3 linked regions of the Cricetulus griseus genome follow. Each later gene encodes a partner of the first gene's protein in a complex. Links are inferred from orthologs where the notes say so. Each region holds a gene or a part of one and is shown on either strand. Other genes may lie near its edges.

What was found. The genes of interacting proteins can lie anywhere in the genome.
Region 2: the proteins of Ngfr (region 1) and Arhgdia are in contact, whole or in part, in an NMR structure (PDB 8X8T), measured with the Homo sapiens proteins. The link is inferred for Cricetulus griseus from reciprocal best matches to the Homo sapiens genes NGFR and ARHGDIA. Residues at the interface, in NP_002498.1 of Homo sapiens: Arg274, Trp275, Ser277, Cys278, Lys279, Gln280, Lys282, Gln283, Gly284, Ala285, Ser287, Arg288, Pro289, Val290, Asn291, Gln292, Thr293, Pro294, Pro295, Pro296, Glu299, Lys300, Leu301, Ile307, Ser308, Val309, Gln312, Ser313, Asp316, Gln317; in NP_001172006.1 of Homo sapiens: Ala8, Glu9, Leu11, Ala12, Gln13, Ile14, Ala15, Ala16, Glu17, Asn18, Glu19, Glu20, Asp21, Glu22, Val25, Pro30, Ala31, Gln32, Lys33, Ile35, Gln36, Glu37, Ile38, Gln39, Glu40, Leu41, Asp42, Lys43, Asp44, Asp45.
Region 3: the proteins of Ngfr (region 1) and Ripk2 are in contact, whole or in part, in an NMR structure (PDB 2N83), measured with the Homo sapiens proteins. The link is inferred for Cricetulus griseus from reciprocal best matches to the Homo sapiens genes NGFR and RIPK2. Residues at the interface, in NP_002498.1 of Homo sapiens: Gly334, Leu335, Ser338, Leu339, Pro340, Lys343, Val347, Ser354, Ala355, Asp357, Arg360, His361, Gly364, Glu365, Tyr368, Pro370, Ile373, Asp374, Leu398, Asp399, Leu401, Leu402, Arg406, Arg407, Ile408, Gln409, Arg410, Ala411, Asp412, Val414; in NP_003812.1 of Homo sapiens: Gln437, Ser465, Arg466, Asp467, Leu468, Met470, Glu472, Asp495, Ile496, Gln497, Gly498, Glu499, Glu500, Lys503, Ile523, Leu524, Val526, Ser527, Arg528, Ser529, Pro530, Ser531, Leu532, Asn533, Leu534, Gln536.

What each region holds. Positions count from the first base shown.
Region 1 is NC_048600.1:108,751,885-108,756,045, reverse strand, and holds the start of Ngfr (tumor necrosis factor receptor superfamily member 16), read left to right. Parts: upstream 1-1,354; coding exon 1,355-1,433; intron 1,434-4,161. UniProt on the Homo sapiens protein: Low affinity receptor which can bind to NGF, BDNF, NTF3, and NTF4. Forms a heterodimeric receptor with SORCS2 that binds the precursor forms of NGF, BDNF and NTF3 with high affinity, and has much lower affinity for mature NGF and BDNF.
Region 2 is NC_048600.1:133,068,173-133,072,260, reverse strand, and holds Arhgdia (rho GDP-dissociation inhibitor 1), read left to right. Parts: upstream 1-1,281; 5' UTR 1,282-1,416; intron 1,417-1,980; exon of another isoform or gene 1,981-2,129; intron 2,130-2,636; 5' UTR 2,637-2,658; coding exon 2,659-2,848; intron 2,849-2,965; coding exon 2,966-3,049; intron 3,050-3,269; coding exon 3,270-3,346; intron 3,347-3,432; coding exon 3,433-3,496; intron 3,497-3,587; coding exon 3,588-3,787; 3' UTR 3,788-3,872; downstream 3,873-4,088. UniProt on the Homo sapiens protein: Controls Rho proteins homeostasis. Regulates the GDP/GTP exchange reaction of the Rho proteins by inhibiting the dissociation of GDP from them, and the subsequent binding of GTP to them.
Region 3 is NC_048595.1:130,017,806-130,021,813, forward strand, and holds the start of Ripk2 (receptor-interacting serine/threonine-protein kinase 2), read right to left. Parts: upstream 2,808-4,008; 5' UTR 2,654-2,807; coding exon 2,481-2,653; intron 1-2,480.

The DNA.
Region 1 (4,161 bases):
TGATGTGCCCAGTTTCCAAAACATGACAGGTTCTGTCCTCAGAACGCCTACACAGTACATGGATGGCATGAATCTCTGAAGGATGAGTCCACTTTCCCATTGAAGCCCCTCCTCAGAGCAATACTGAACACCTACTATAGCGTATATTCAGAGAAGACACTACTGGCCCTGCCTTAGGAAGCTCAGAAGCCCAGGTAATTGTGTTTGTGTATGGTTTGTACACTCATGAATGGGTGTGCACTTGAGTGCTCAATACCTATGAGGGCTTGTTTGAGTATGACCGTGCACTGCACACATGTGACTTTGGGGCGGGTGTATGTGAATGTGTGTAGATGTATGTCTGATCTGTATTAGGGACCGTTGTAGGATGGCTCGGTTTCTACGAATGCCTGAGGATGGTATGGCCCATGTGATCGCATGAGCACACGTACAGGGGAGCTTGAGAGTGCTTTTGTGTAGTCCTGGGGTTTATGTGCACATCTGTGACTCCTCCCAGCTCATGATAGGATGTCTGCATGGCATGTGTGAGGTCCTAGGTTCAATCGTGTGTGTGTGTGTGTGTGTGTGTGTGTGTGTGTGTGTGTGTGAGAGAGAGAGAGAGAGAGAGAGAGAGAGAGAGAGAGAGAGACAGACAGACAGACAGACACAGAGACAGAGAGACAGAGACAGAGAGACAGAGAGACAGAGAGAGAGAGCAAATTATGACACTGGGATAGATTCCACCTTGAATGTCCCAAGGAACACCTCACTCCACAAGTGAGAAGCTGTAGACAGTATGGAATAGGTGTAGACCTAATCATGAAAGAAGGGCAGCTGCATTCCCGGAATGAGGGGTAGGTAGGGAACTAGGAACCCAGGGGCTGAAGAAGATATTTTAGAGAGTGAACCCTAAGGCAGACCTCATCAGTAGGAGAGCAATGCTCCCCACTCCCCCCCCACCCCGCCGCCCCGCTGGATCCAGAGCATCCTACGCTGATGCTCAGCGTAACCGGCAGTGCACTGGGCATGTGGGACAGACAGACCGCGGAGAAGCCGCAGCGGGGCACACGGGCGGGCGCGGCTCCCCGCACGCCTTCCTTGGCTGCTCCGGACTCCCCACCTCGAAGCGGCCTGGCGGCCGGGCGGGCGCGGTTCCGGAGGGGTGGGGTGGGGGGTTGGGCGGGCTGGGCGGGAGGAGGCGGGGCTGCTGCACTGCCTTTACCCAGCTGCGCCCGCCTGCCCGTAGCCAGAGCGAGCGTAGCCTCCGCCAGCTCCGGCGGGCAGCGGGCGCTGGAGCTTAGCGCAGCTCAGCGCAGCCCATCGGCCCGCAGAGCGGACTGAGCTAGAAGCGAAGCGCTGTCGCCAGAGGCAAGCGATGAGGGCAGGTGCTGCCTGCAGCGCCATGGACCAGTCGCGCCTGCTGCTGCTGCTGCTGCTGCTAGGGGTAAGTGGTAGCAGGAGGGACGCCTGTTAACCTTTTCCAGGAACCGAACCCCAAGGGGATCCCAGTGCCACCACCCAGGAAACAGAATAGGACATCAAGGTCCCAGATGCTGGGAACCGGTGGCGGAGGAGCTGCGATACCGTGATCCACAGGGGCGCTTCTAGCTCTTGGGACTTTCAGAGAGCAGAGGAGACCCAGTCCCAGAATAGAGATGCGGACAGGACCGTGGCACCGATGCTGGTCCTTGGTGCTGCTGCTGCTACTGGTCTTTGGGTACTGCGCTGGGGACGGTGTAGGGGACTGGGGGGGGGGTCTCTCGGGAGGAGGTTTAGGAATCACGGGCGCCTGGGTTCTTTTGACGACGGCGTGTGAATTCTGGGATCCCGAGAGGACTTTTCCCTTTTCCATCTTAGTCCTTGGGGAGTTGTAGGACAGAACCGAGGAGAGAAAGGAGGGGGATGAGAGCAGCGCTAGAGATGTGAGGGGCTAGCGAAGGAACAATGGGGGAGGCGCTGGGCTGGAGGGACTGGAGGCAGAGGGGACCCGGCACGGACAATGGGGACCGGCCAGACAATGGGGGGGAGGGGCGTCTAAAGGAGCGATTCGGGAGTGGCAGAGAGGTTGAAGAGCTAGAAGTGGGTTTAAAGGAGGGCAGAAAAAAGACTGCCACTAAAGAGGTAGAGAGATAGAAAGCGGTGCGTATCCTAAAGTGCTCGGGGCCCCGCCTGCCTACTCAAGGGCAGTGGGACAAGGACGGCCGAGACACAGACGTTTCCCGCGTGGGTTCTAGCGCTCTTTCTCGCGGCCTCGCCCAGTCCGGGAATTGCATCTGGGCATCCCAGGCTGGGAAGGGAGCGCTCACTTCACTGGGGCAAATCCGCTGCCGGAGTGGATCCCTGGCAAGCCTTTTCTCGCGGTTTGGAACAACACGGTGGACCCGGAGAGACAGAGCCGGCAGCCCCCTACCCTATCTGACGCCGGGATGCGGAGCGCTGGGACGCTCCAGGCGGCGACTGTTGCTCGGGGAATGCACAAACCCCAGGCGACCCGCAGGGGGCACTGCGGGGTGCGGGACGGCTGTTCACAGCTGCGTGCGCGCCTGGGGCTGCGCACTGCGCCCCTTCTAAGTTAAGCAACCCCCGGGCCCGGTGCCATTTGCGCTCCTTCCTGTCCAGATCTTAATAGGGTCATCATCACGCACACATCTGGCTAGGCTTCGATAAAAGTCAATGAACCCTTCTCCAATGCGACAGGGGTCGCTTGGATGCCTGGGATTCTGTCGGATTGTTGTTCAGAGGCACCAATTCCAGCTAGGTCGTCAGATCTTGCTAAGAACCCGAGGACTCTGGGTACTTCTGATCAGATCTTAAGAAAGGTTGGCAATGGAAGTGGCGCCACCCTCCACCTTTTTCTTCCTCTGAGCACTGTGCCCCCAAAACTCTATTTTACTGACAAGGGAGGCGTGTAAACAAGTTGGCCAAGACCTCACAAGCAAGTTGGGCCAGAGTTCTGTGGCTGGATGCCCCCCCCACTTCACTCCAGCTCTGTGGCTCTCTCTACTCAAGGGTGCAGCTGTGGGCGGTCAACTTCGTTTCACAGCAGGGATGGGGGTGGCACCATCCCAAGGATAGGCAGAGGTGGGCTATGGAAGCAGAGGATGGAGAACCTATTCAAACTCGGATCCCAACCTCAAAGTTCAAACCTGGTTCCCTGGAGCTGTCAGTACCTGTGGCTTCCTCCGGGGTTTTGGGAGTGGCTGCAAGGGTGTTTGCTGACTAACGTCCCTGGTTAGAGATGCCTCGGGAGCTGTGTGGTGCTCATCCTGGAGAGGTGAGGGCGTGGCCTCTGGACCTGGGCAGGAGGATATCCCTGAGTTCAGAAAAGGCGAGCAAGGGAGGAGAGCTGGGCCTTGAGGCCTTAGCAAGGTGAACCGGGCACAGAATCTTCGGGCCTGAGCCCCCGGGACTCTACTTTTCACCTCCACCCCAGATTGTTCGGTGCGAGCCAGTTCAGCGGTCCGAGCCTCTTCCTGCGCCGCTGAGAGAGTACTGAAACCAGAGCGCGTCCCGGCGAGTCTGCTGGCGGGCCGAGCCGGTAATGGAGGCACTTTGTCATTCAGACGTCTGTAACCGGAGCCTCCGGGCTGGCTAATGCTCCTAATAGGGATGCAGCAGCGTAGGCAGTAAATGGGCAGCGTGAGCGTCGGGGCTGGCGTGGAGGGTGGATGGTGAGGCGGCTCCCGAGGGAAAAGCCTCCACCCTACCTGGTCAGCCCCTTCTGGTTCCAACACCTGGCTTCCTCCCTAGGGGATGAATTGGAAGAGAGGATATAGGCTATAATAACTTTTGTGAAGTGCCTACTCTGTGACCTGCACTGTCCCTAAGTACTTTTACTGTATATACGTACTCCTTAGGTCCCAGAAAGGTAAATTTAGTTATTCCCATTTTACAGGTGAGGAAGCTGACCCCCAGGAAACTTAGGCGGGACACCTGGCTCCCCCAGTCGAAAAGCAGAGGTGGCCTGTAGGAAGCTGGGGAGTCAAGGCTTTGGTCTTTCCTCCTCATGCGCAGTTCCTTTTCAGCTTCCCTTCCACTTACAGATCATGAAAGGGGGTGTGGTCCTGAACTGCCACTGACTGGGTGGGTTAGACTCTGCCCTGTGCCTCTGAGCTGAGCCACTCCCCTGCTCCAAGTGAGCAGAGCCCTAGCTTCTCTTCAAGTCTCCACAAGGCAGCTTAG
Region 2 (4,088 bases), about 24 Mb from region 1:
TTGCGTGCGTGTGTCTCTCTGTGTGTGTCTCTGTGTGTGTGTCTGTGTGTGTCTGTGTGTGTGTGTCTGTGTGTGGTGTGCGTGCATGTCTGTGCGTGTGTGTCTCTGTGTGTGTGTGTGTCTGTGTGTGTGGTGTGCGTGCATGTCTGTGCGTGTGTCTCTGTGTGTGTGTCTGTGTGTGTGTGTGTGGTGTGCGTGCATGTCTGTGTGTGTGTGTGTGTGTGTGTCTGTGTGTGGTGTGCGTGCATGTCTGTGCGTGTGTGCGTGTGTGTCTCTGTGAGGGTGTGTGTGTGGTGTGTGTGTGCGTGCGTGTGTGTCTGTGTGTGTGTCTCTGTGTGTGTGTGTCTCTGTCTGTGTGTGTGTGTCTGTGTGTGTGTCTCTGTGTGTGTGTGTGTCTGTGTGTGTGTGTGGTGTGCGTGCATGTCTGTGCGTGTGTGCGTGTGTCTCTGTGTGTGTGGTGTGTGCGTGTGTGTCTGTGTGTGTGTCTCTGTGTGTGTGTGTCTGTCTGTGTGTGGTGTGCGTGCGTGTGTGTGGTGTGCGTGTCTGTGTGTGTCTGTGTGTGGTGTGCGTGCGTGTGTGGCAAGCGGACTCCATCACAGAGGAAGAGTGGGGACAGTCAAGTGGTGACAGCGTTTGGTTTTGCAGTAGTTTGCCACTGAGCAGCAGGGAGAGGACACTGCGGAGCCATCTTCCTCGGACGAAGAAAACAGTGCATGAAACGGTTACGCTTGAAAGGACACCTGGCTTGCTTCAGAGTTGGGGATGCGTGGCCAGGGGAACAAGTGCTCGCGTGACGTAACGAGGCCGTAAACGTGGCGGATGAACGGCGGGCGACTGTTTCCCTCCAGTCATCTTTTCAGCGCGGTGGCGGACGCCCAGGGCGGCAGCGGTGCTGGCTCTCGTCCCTGCGGAGGCTCCTGCCCGTCTCGGGGTGAGCCGGCCCCGCGGGGCGCGGCGAGGGGAACTCGTGGGGACCCCAGAGGGCCACGGCCCGCGAAGCCACGCGCCCGGCGGCGCGAGCGTGCGTGCGTGCGTGCGTGCGTGCGGCGCTGCCATCTCTGCGTTGCAGGGACAATGGGGGACGAGGCCCGGGCGCGGCGGCCGCGGAACCCGGGCGGCAGAGCGGCCGCCCCGGAGCCCAAGGGCCCGGGCCTCGGCCCACACGCGCCGCGGACGCCCCTCGATGCCCCGCGCGACGCCGCCGGCCCACGCGCGACGCGCCCACGAGGCCGGCCGCAAAATGGCGGCGGCGCCGACCGGCGCCCCCTGCCGGCGCATGCGCACGGCGCCCCCCGCCCGCACGCCCGCGAGAGCGGAAGTCTTGTGACCCCGGAAGTGACCGTCCGGGCGGCGGGCGGCGGACGACGTTCGTCACTTGGTGCGGGAGGGAGCGCGAGAGCGACGGTCGAGCCTCCGGTGAGTGGCGCGCTGCCTGGCGCGGGGCGGCGCGCGAGGGGAGGGGGCTGGCTTTGTGCGGCGACCCCGGCGCTCGCGGGCCGGCGGGCGGGCGGGCGTGCGGCGGGCCCCGGGCGAGCGCGGGCGGCGGGCGCGGTCACGGCAGCGGGCGGGCCGGGCGCCTTCTAGGTCCTGCCCGAAGCGCCGCCGCTGCCCGGGCCTGGGCGCCGCGTCCCGGTCCCGGGTCCGGGTCCCGGTGCGGGTCGGGGGCGGGGGCGCCCTTTCCCGGCCGCGCGGGCGGGGTCCGGCCTGGGGCCCGCCCGGCCTGCCGCTCCCGCCGCGCGGCCCCCCCCGCCCTCCCGGATTGCGGGCCCTGCGGAAGCGCGGGCCGCGCCCTGGATGCTGTCGCCCGCGGCCACGCTTGGCCGCGTCGGGCGGGGCCTCCGGGACCCTCCGGGTGTCGGGCCGGCGCTCCCCCCGAGTCTCTGGCGCACGCCTCCCAGAGGGGCGGCGGCTGCCCCGACCGCCGCGCATCGCCTGCAGGGCTCGAGTGGGTGTCTGGGGGACGGGTGGGGATCTGCGGAACTGAAAGGCACCGAGGCGCTTCCGTCCCGGCGTGGTTCCGCACCGCCACAGACGCTTTAGGACCAGGGTCCAGCAATGGGCTCCTGAGATTTATTTTGCAACCGGTGCACCAGCTCCCACTCTGCGTTCGCGGACCCCTCACAAGGGAGGTCGGGCTTGCATATTTACCGTCTCATTTGGTCGCCACGCAGTTGAGCTTAGGACGGTATTCCACCGGCAGGAAGGAACAGACCCTTGTCCTGCACGTGGCTAGGACACAGAGCATCCCCGTTTCAGAGAACTTCTCCCCGTGACCCAGTGAGAGTGTCTTTGGGTTAGATCCCGGGCATCTAGGGGCAGCAGCAGGACCCACGTGGTTTAACGTTGCTTCTCCCAGTTCCGTTTGGTCAGGAGGCTACTCATTCTTCATGGGGAGGAAAGCTGTTCTGCTTCTCTGAGGAACGGGCTGTGGTCCCCATTTTGTGGCTTCATGGTGTGCCTGGGGTGTAGCCCTCTCAAACGAGCCTCTTGAGTTAGTTGGGCAGTGGCAGCGCCTCCTATCTCCTCTAAAAGTTGCCCTGGCGTGGCTACCTCCATCATTTCCCGGCAGGTGTCAGGGTCCCTCTAGGTTGCAATGCCTCCGGGCTGTCACCGCTCTGCTCGCTGCCCACCCACAGGTATCCCAGGTTAGAGGTGAGCATGGCAGAACAGGAGCCCACCGCTGAGCAGCTTGCGCAGATCGCGGCCGAGAATGAGGAGGATGAGCACTCTGTCAACTACAAGCCCCCAGCCCAGAAGAGCATCCAGGAGATCCAGGAACTGGACAAGGATGATGAGAGCCTTCGAAAGTATAAGGAGGCCCTGCTGGGCCGAGTGGCTGTCTCTGCAGGTAGGTGGATGTCACCTGACCCTGTCACCACCCCCTTTCCAGTCTGCCCCCCTCCTTCCAGGGAGTTAAAAAAAATCTAAGGAATGGAGCTCTTGATTCATGACTCTTGCTCTCCAGACCCCAATGTCCCCAATGTCATTGTGACCCGCCTGACCTTGGTGTGCAGCACGTCCCCGGGCCCTCTGGAACTGGACCTGACAGGTGAGTGGGTTTTGGAGTCCCTGGGTGGGGCCAGCTGGCATCCAGCCGCTGCCCCTAAAAATAATTTTCTGCACTGGTGCCCTCTGGTGGGGCAGGGGGGAAAGTGCAGCTAGGTGCTCTCCAAGGCCCTGCTTTGTGTCACGGAAGGGGCTGTGGAAAGGGAACGTGGGGGCAGGATGGAAAGCCTCCAGGCAATTGGCTGTGCCTCCTCCCCATACAGGTGATCTGGAGAGCTTCAAGAAACAGTCGTTTGTGTTGAAGGAAGGTGTGGAGTACCGGATAAAAATCTCTTTCCGGGTAAGGTGGAGGATTGGAGAGGCCTGGCAGAGGGGCAGAGCATCAGCACTGGGGGGCCGGCTGACCCTTGCTCTGTGTCCCCACAGGTGAACAGAGAGATCGTGTCAGGCATGAAGTACATCCAGCACACATACAGGAAAGGGGTCAAAAGTAAGTGGTCGTACCGATAGAGTGGGAAGCCTGTGGGTCCCGGGAGGGGCTTGCGTGGCCACTAACCATGCCTTTCCTGTCCACACCACAGTCGACAAGACCGACTACATGGTCGGGAGCTATGGGCCCCGGGCTGAGGAGTATGAGTTCCTGACACCCATGGAAGAGGCCCCCAAAGGCATGCTCGCTCGGGGCAGCTACAACATCAAGTCCCGATTCACAGACGATGACAAGACGGACCACCTGTCCTGGGAATGGAACCTCACCATCAAAAAGGAGTGGAAGGACTGAGCTCCAGCTGGGAGGCGGGCAGGGCGGCGGACAGACAGAAGGACCGACATGCCCCACCCCCAACCCCTACCCACCCCAAACCAAAGTGCTGACAGGACCCTCCCTCACCATTCCTCCCCTCTTCTGTCTGCCCCTCCTCCACCTCCTGCCTGCAGGCCCCTGTGGTCTCCAGTGTTGTCACATTGCTGCTTCTGCCTGTGCAGTGGGGGAGGGGTTTCAGCCCAGGCCTCCAATCTGCTGTGTCCCCCAGGTTTCCTCTGTCGTCCCTTCCTCAGGCCCTGGCTTCTAGAATGGAATGGAA
Region 3 (4,008 bases), on another chromosome or scaffold:
ATATAAGATCCCCTTTCCTCCTCCTGTCCACAGTATGAAACAAGGGGTTGGAAGACAGTACAGCTGGTGAAGTGGTTGTTACACAAACAGGAGGATCTGAGTTTGATTCCTCAGAATCCACATAAAAAAGTCGACAACAATAAAACACTCTGAAACACTAACCTGCCCCTGAGATAAATGGTGGTCCTGAGGAACAATACCTGAAGTTGACCCCTGGCTTCCTTATCATGCACATGGACCAGTACGTACAACATGTGTGTATACACGAACACAAACACACATGCGCACACACATGAAAAAGTCTGATGTATTCTTCCTTCCTGTCAGCCACTTTATAAACACTAACTGTTCAATTGCCTCTCTAAAGCTGGCTCCATTACCTCCACTTTACATACAGGGACACCCAGAGTCGGAGAAATAAATGATCCTCTGGTGACCACAACCAAACAAAGCAACAGGATTAAAGTCAGATTCAAATTGTAGTCCTGGTACTCTAAGGTCTGTGTTTTTCCTAGTCTGTTGTTTGACCAGGAAAGCAAGTTGGACAGTTTATAAGGTTAGATTTCAACAAGACTAAGGGGGGAAATAAAACTAAAAGATTAAAAAAAGCTAAAAATGTAAAAGACAGTTTCAATGATTATATCACCAAAATTACCCAACTCAAAATTTCAATAGGAAACAGTTACCCCATCTCTAAGGTACCAAGTGGAGTCATCTATCCATTAAGGTAGGAAGTCTGCTATGTTAGGCCCACTCATTGGCTACAGAGAATGACTCATTAATCATTAAAATAATATGCCACGTCACAAAAATTTATTTTCCTCTCAGGTCATCTTAAAGAACAATGGGCACTTTATCTATACTAGATAGAGCACAACAAATATACGTACGTACGTGTTTATAATTCATATTTTATAAGTGAGGAAATAAGACACCCAAGTCAATTGCATAAGCCTACGCTTATGCACTTGTTAAGATCTTAGGCAACAAGAGAAAAGAATGAAATGCAGTAAGGTCACAGGATTTTGTTGGTCTTAGAAAGATAATTTTTTATCCAATTCAATGAAATTATACGATGATGTGGTTGGTGAAAATGGGAAAGCATCACCATCTTTGTCGCTTGGCCCACAAAAAGCATAACACTTTTGTAAATAAAAACCTTGGAAAGCAGAATCCAAAGTGAGAAATCACTTTGGTATACTCAATGGTCTACTAGTGCTACATATCCACAGAATATTTGTTTAATTGGCTTCTAGCCAGCCTCCCTTTAAAGTCGATCCCAGACAAACACACTTTACCCAGCACTAGCTCCACCGACTATAAGGCCCAGTATCTGAATCTGGATCATGGTACACAGAAAGTTTTAGTGTTCCAAACTTCAATGTGATCTAGCCCATGGTGGGGGGATAAAAGCTACTACAGGCAGATGAAAGTCCAATATTCTAGCTGGGCTGAAGACAAGAGAGGTCTCTGATGCTGGATATGACCTTACACCAGACATTAACAGCCTCTGGCCAATGGGGCCGCTATGAATTTTGTATTTTCACTCAAGATGCAGGAGAAGAGAACGTTGCAACTACGGATGTTAGTGCATTAAGAACTGAATGAATTCCGGAAGGAAAACACACAAGAGTACTGACCAGACTCTTTGACTAACACGTACAGTCACAGATCCATGGTATTTAGTTGCAATGTTTCCCGGAAACAGAAACCAAGGCTATTTTTTTTTCCTGATGTGGAAACTGGACTCAAATAATATCAGAATGTGAGGCAATCACATTTTTTTATATTCACAAATTTTGACCATTTAACAATCTTTGATTTCAATTTACTGTTACAAAAAAAAGCACACACTTCCTTTGAGGACTTCCAAAGTAAGAGCTCGAATAACAATGGCTAATGTAGAGTTTGATATCTGAACTTCATGACTGCATGTAATAAGCCACAAACAAGATAAAACCAATCTGATCAAAGCAAAACATGCAGGCTCTGGAGTAGCACTGATAAATATGGAGTGAAACACACATACAACCCTAGAAAATATTTTCACATGTAGTTAATATAAAAACACTGGTACATTTTTTAGTACTAAATATTCAAAATCTGGTGTGTATTTTGCACTCACTACATATTTCATTTCCAAAGCCCAGTTTCATGAGTTCCACGGCTCTTGTGGCTAACAGCTAGCTAAAAATAGAGCTAAGCCCACATGCACTGTACCAACACACGTCGGGTTCAATAAACAGGCTTTTAGAGGTGGCCGTGATTGCATGTTTTTGGAGGAGAGAGCGGACACCTCGGATGGGAGGAGAGGCGAGTTGGAAACTCTGACGCACGTCCAGGGCAGTTTCTCCCTTGGACCAAGATAGCCCCAGGGATAAGAACTGGCAGCTGCGGGGAGCTGGCGCATCACGGTCAGTGTGGCCGGACTGTGGCCGTGCGGGCCCGCGTCTGCGTGGGGCCCCGCGGCTGCACCCTACCTGTCGAGCAACGGCGTGTGGATGTGCAGGTGCTTCACGGCCACTCGCACGCGCCAATCCGCGTGGCGTGCCGACGACACGGTGCCCGAGGCGCCGCGGCTGAGGTAGTGCAGATCGGCGAGCTTGTGGTAGGGGATGGGAGGCAGTGCGCTGCAGATGGCGTCCCCGTTCATGGCTCTAGCTGAGCGGCGGCTCCGCTAGATCCTGGCGGTGGCCGGTGCAGTGCGGCGTCAGGTCGCCGGGCGGCCCATTCCCGCGTGGCCGCTGCAGTTCCGGCCGGGCGACTGTCCCTGGGAGTCCGTCCGTCTGCGGCCGCGCCAGGGAGGACCTTTCTCCGCACTCCTCCTCCTTCCGCGCTCCTCCCTCCGCGGACCCCTCCCTCCCCTGCTTCTCTTTCTGCGGTTTCCTCCCTCCACCCATCTCCTCAGCCTACTTCTTCTACCCGCGGCCCCTCCCTCCTCAGACTCCTCCTTCCGCAGACTCCTCTCTCCGCAGACTCCTCCTTTCGCTTCTCCCTCCTCAGGTTCCTCCCTCCGCAGGTTCCTCTCTCCGCAGGCTCCTCCCTCTGCAGGCGGCTCCCTCTGCAGGCTCCTCTCTCCGTAGGCGCCTGCTTCTTTTGGCTTTCTCCTCAGGCTCCTCTCTCTGCAGGCTCCTCCCCCTGCAGGCCCCTCCCTCCATCCCTCCCTCTGCAGGCTCCTCCCTCTGTCCACTCCTCTCTCCGTAGGCTCCTCCCTCCGCAGGCTCCTCCCTCTGCAGGCTCCTCCCTCAGCAGGCTCCTGGGTAACGTCAGCAGAGTGGGGGACTCAGCTCCCCCTCCCTCTCAGCCCTGTGGCTCTGCTCAGGCCTGGAGCACTTTTCCTCTGGGGAAAGTCCCTGCAGTGGCGTCCACGCCGGATTTTCCTTTGGCCTGGTGTCTGCCTTAGTCTCCAAACCCCAGAAGTGATGGGGTGGGGGTGACTCCTGCTGGGGAGCTCGGTGACATCTATATCGTCCCACTTCCTGAGCGATAACCATCTGCTGGCACTCGGTGACTACCACTTCAGGAGTGAGGTGGAGAGGTAAGCACTGTCACAGTGTGACAAATTGAGGTGTTTAGCCCCTGTGACATGCTCCTCTACCAGGAAACTTGCTGTTTTTATTCTCCAAAGCCTACGGACAAATTGAAAAACCACCATTTCTTGTGTTTGGGAAGGCTGCTATCTAAAACAAAAACAAAACAAAACACTCCAAAATAACAACAAAACCCCACACAAACAAAAAAGACTACCAAAACCCAATCACTATTCCATCTTTTTACTTAAAACACCTTTCTACTTAGATGACTGTTCAGTGGGATGTTTGGCACAAATTTAGTACCTCATATTTGTGTGCCATTTAGTTCTGTAATCCTATCCCTACCTGGATACTAAACTCTGTAATTGTGTCCCTTTTATGAATAGTGTAAAATATATATATCATCCACACATTCTTTCCTAAACTTTAGTTCTTCATAGTTTTACAAGTCTACAGTTTAGAAGTATGTGTTCTT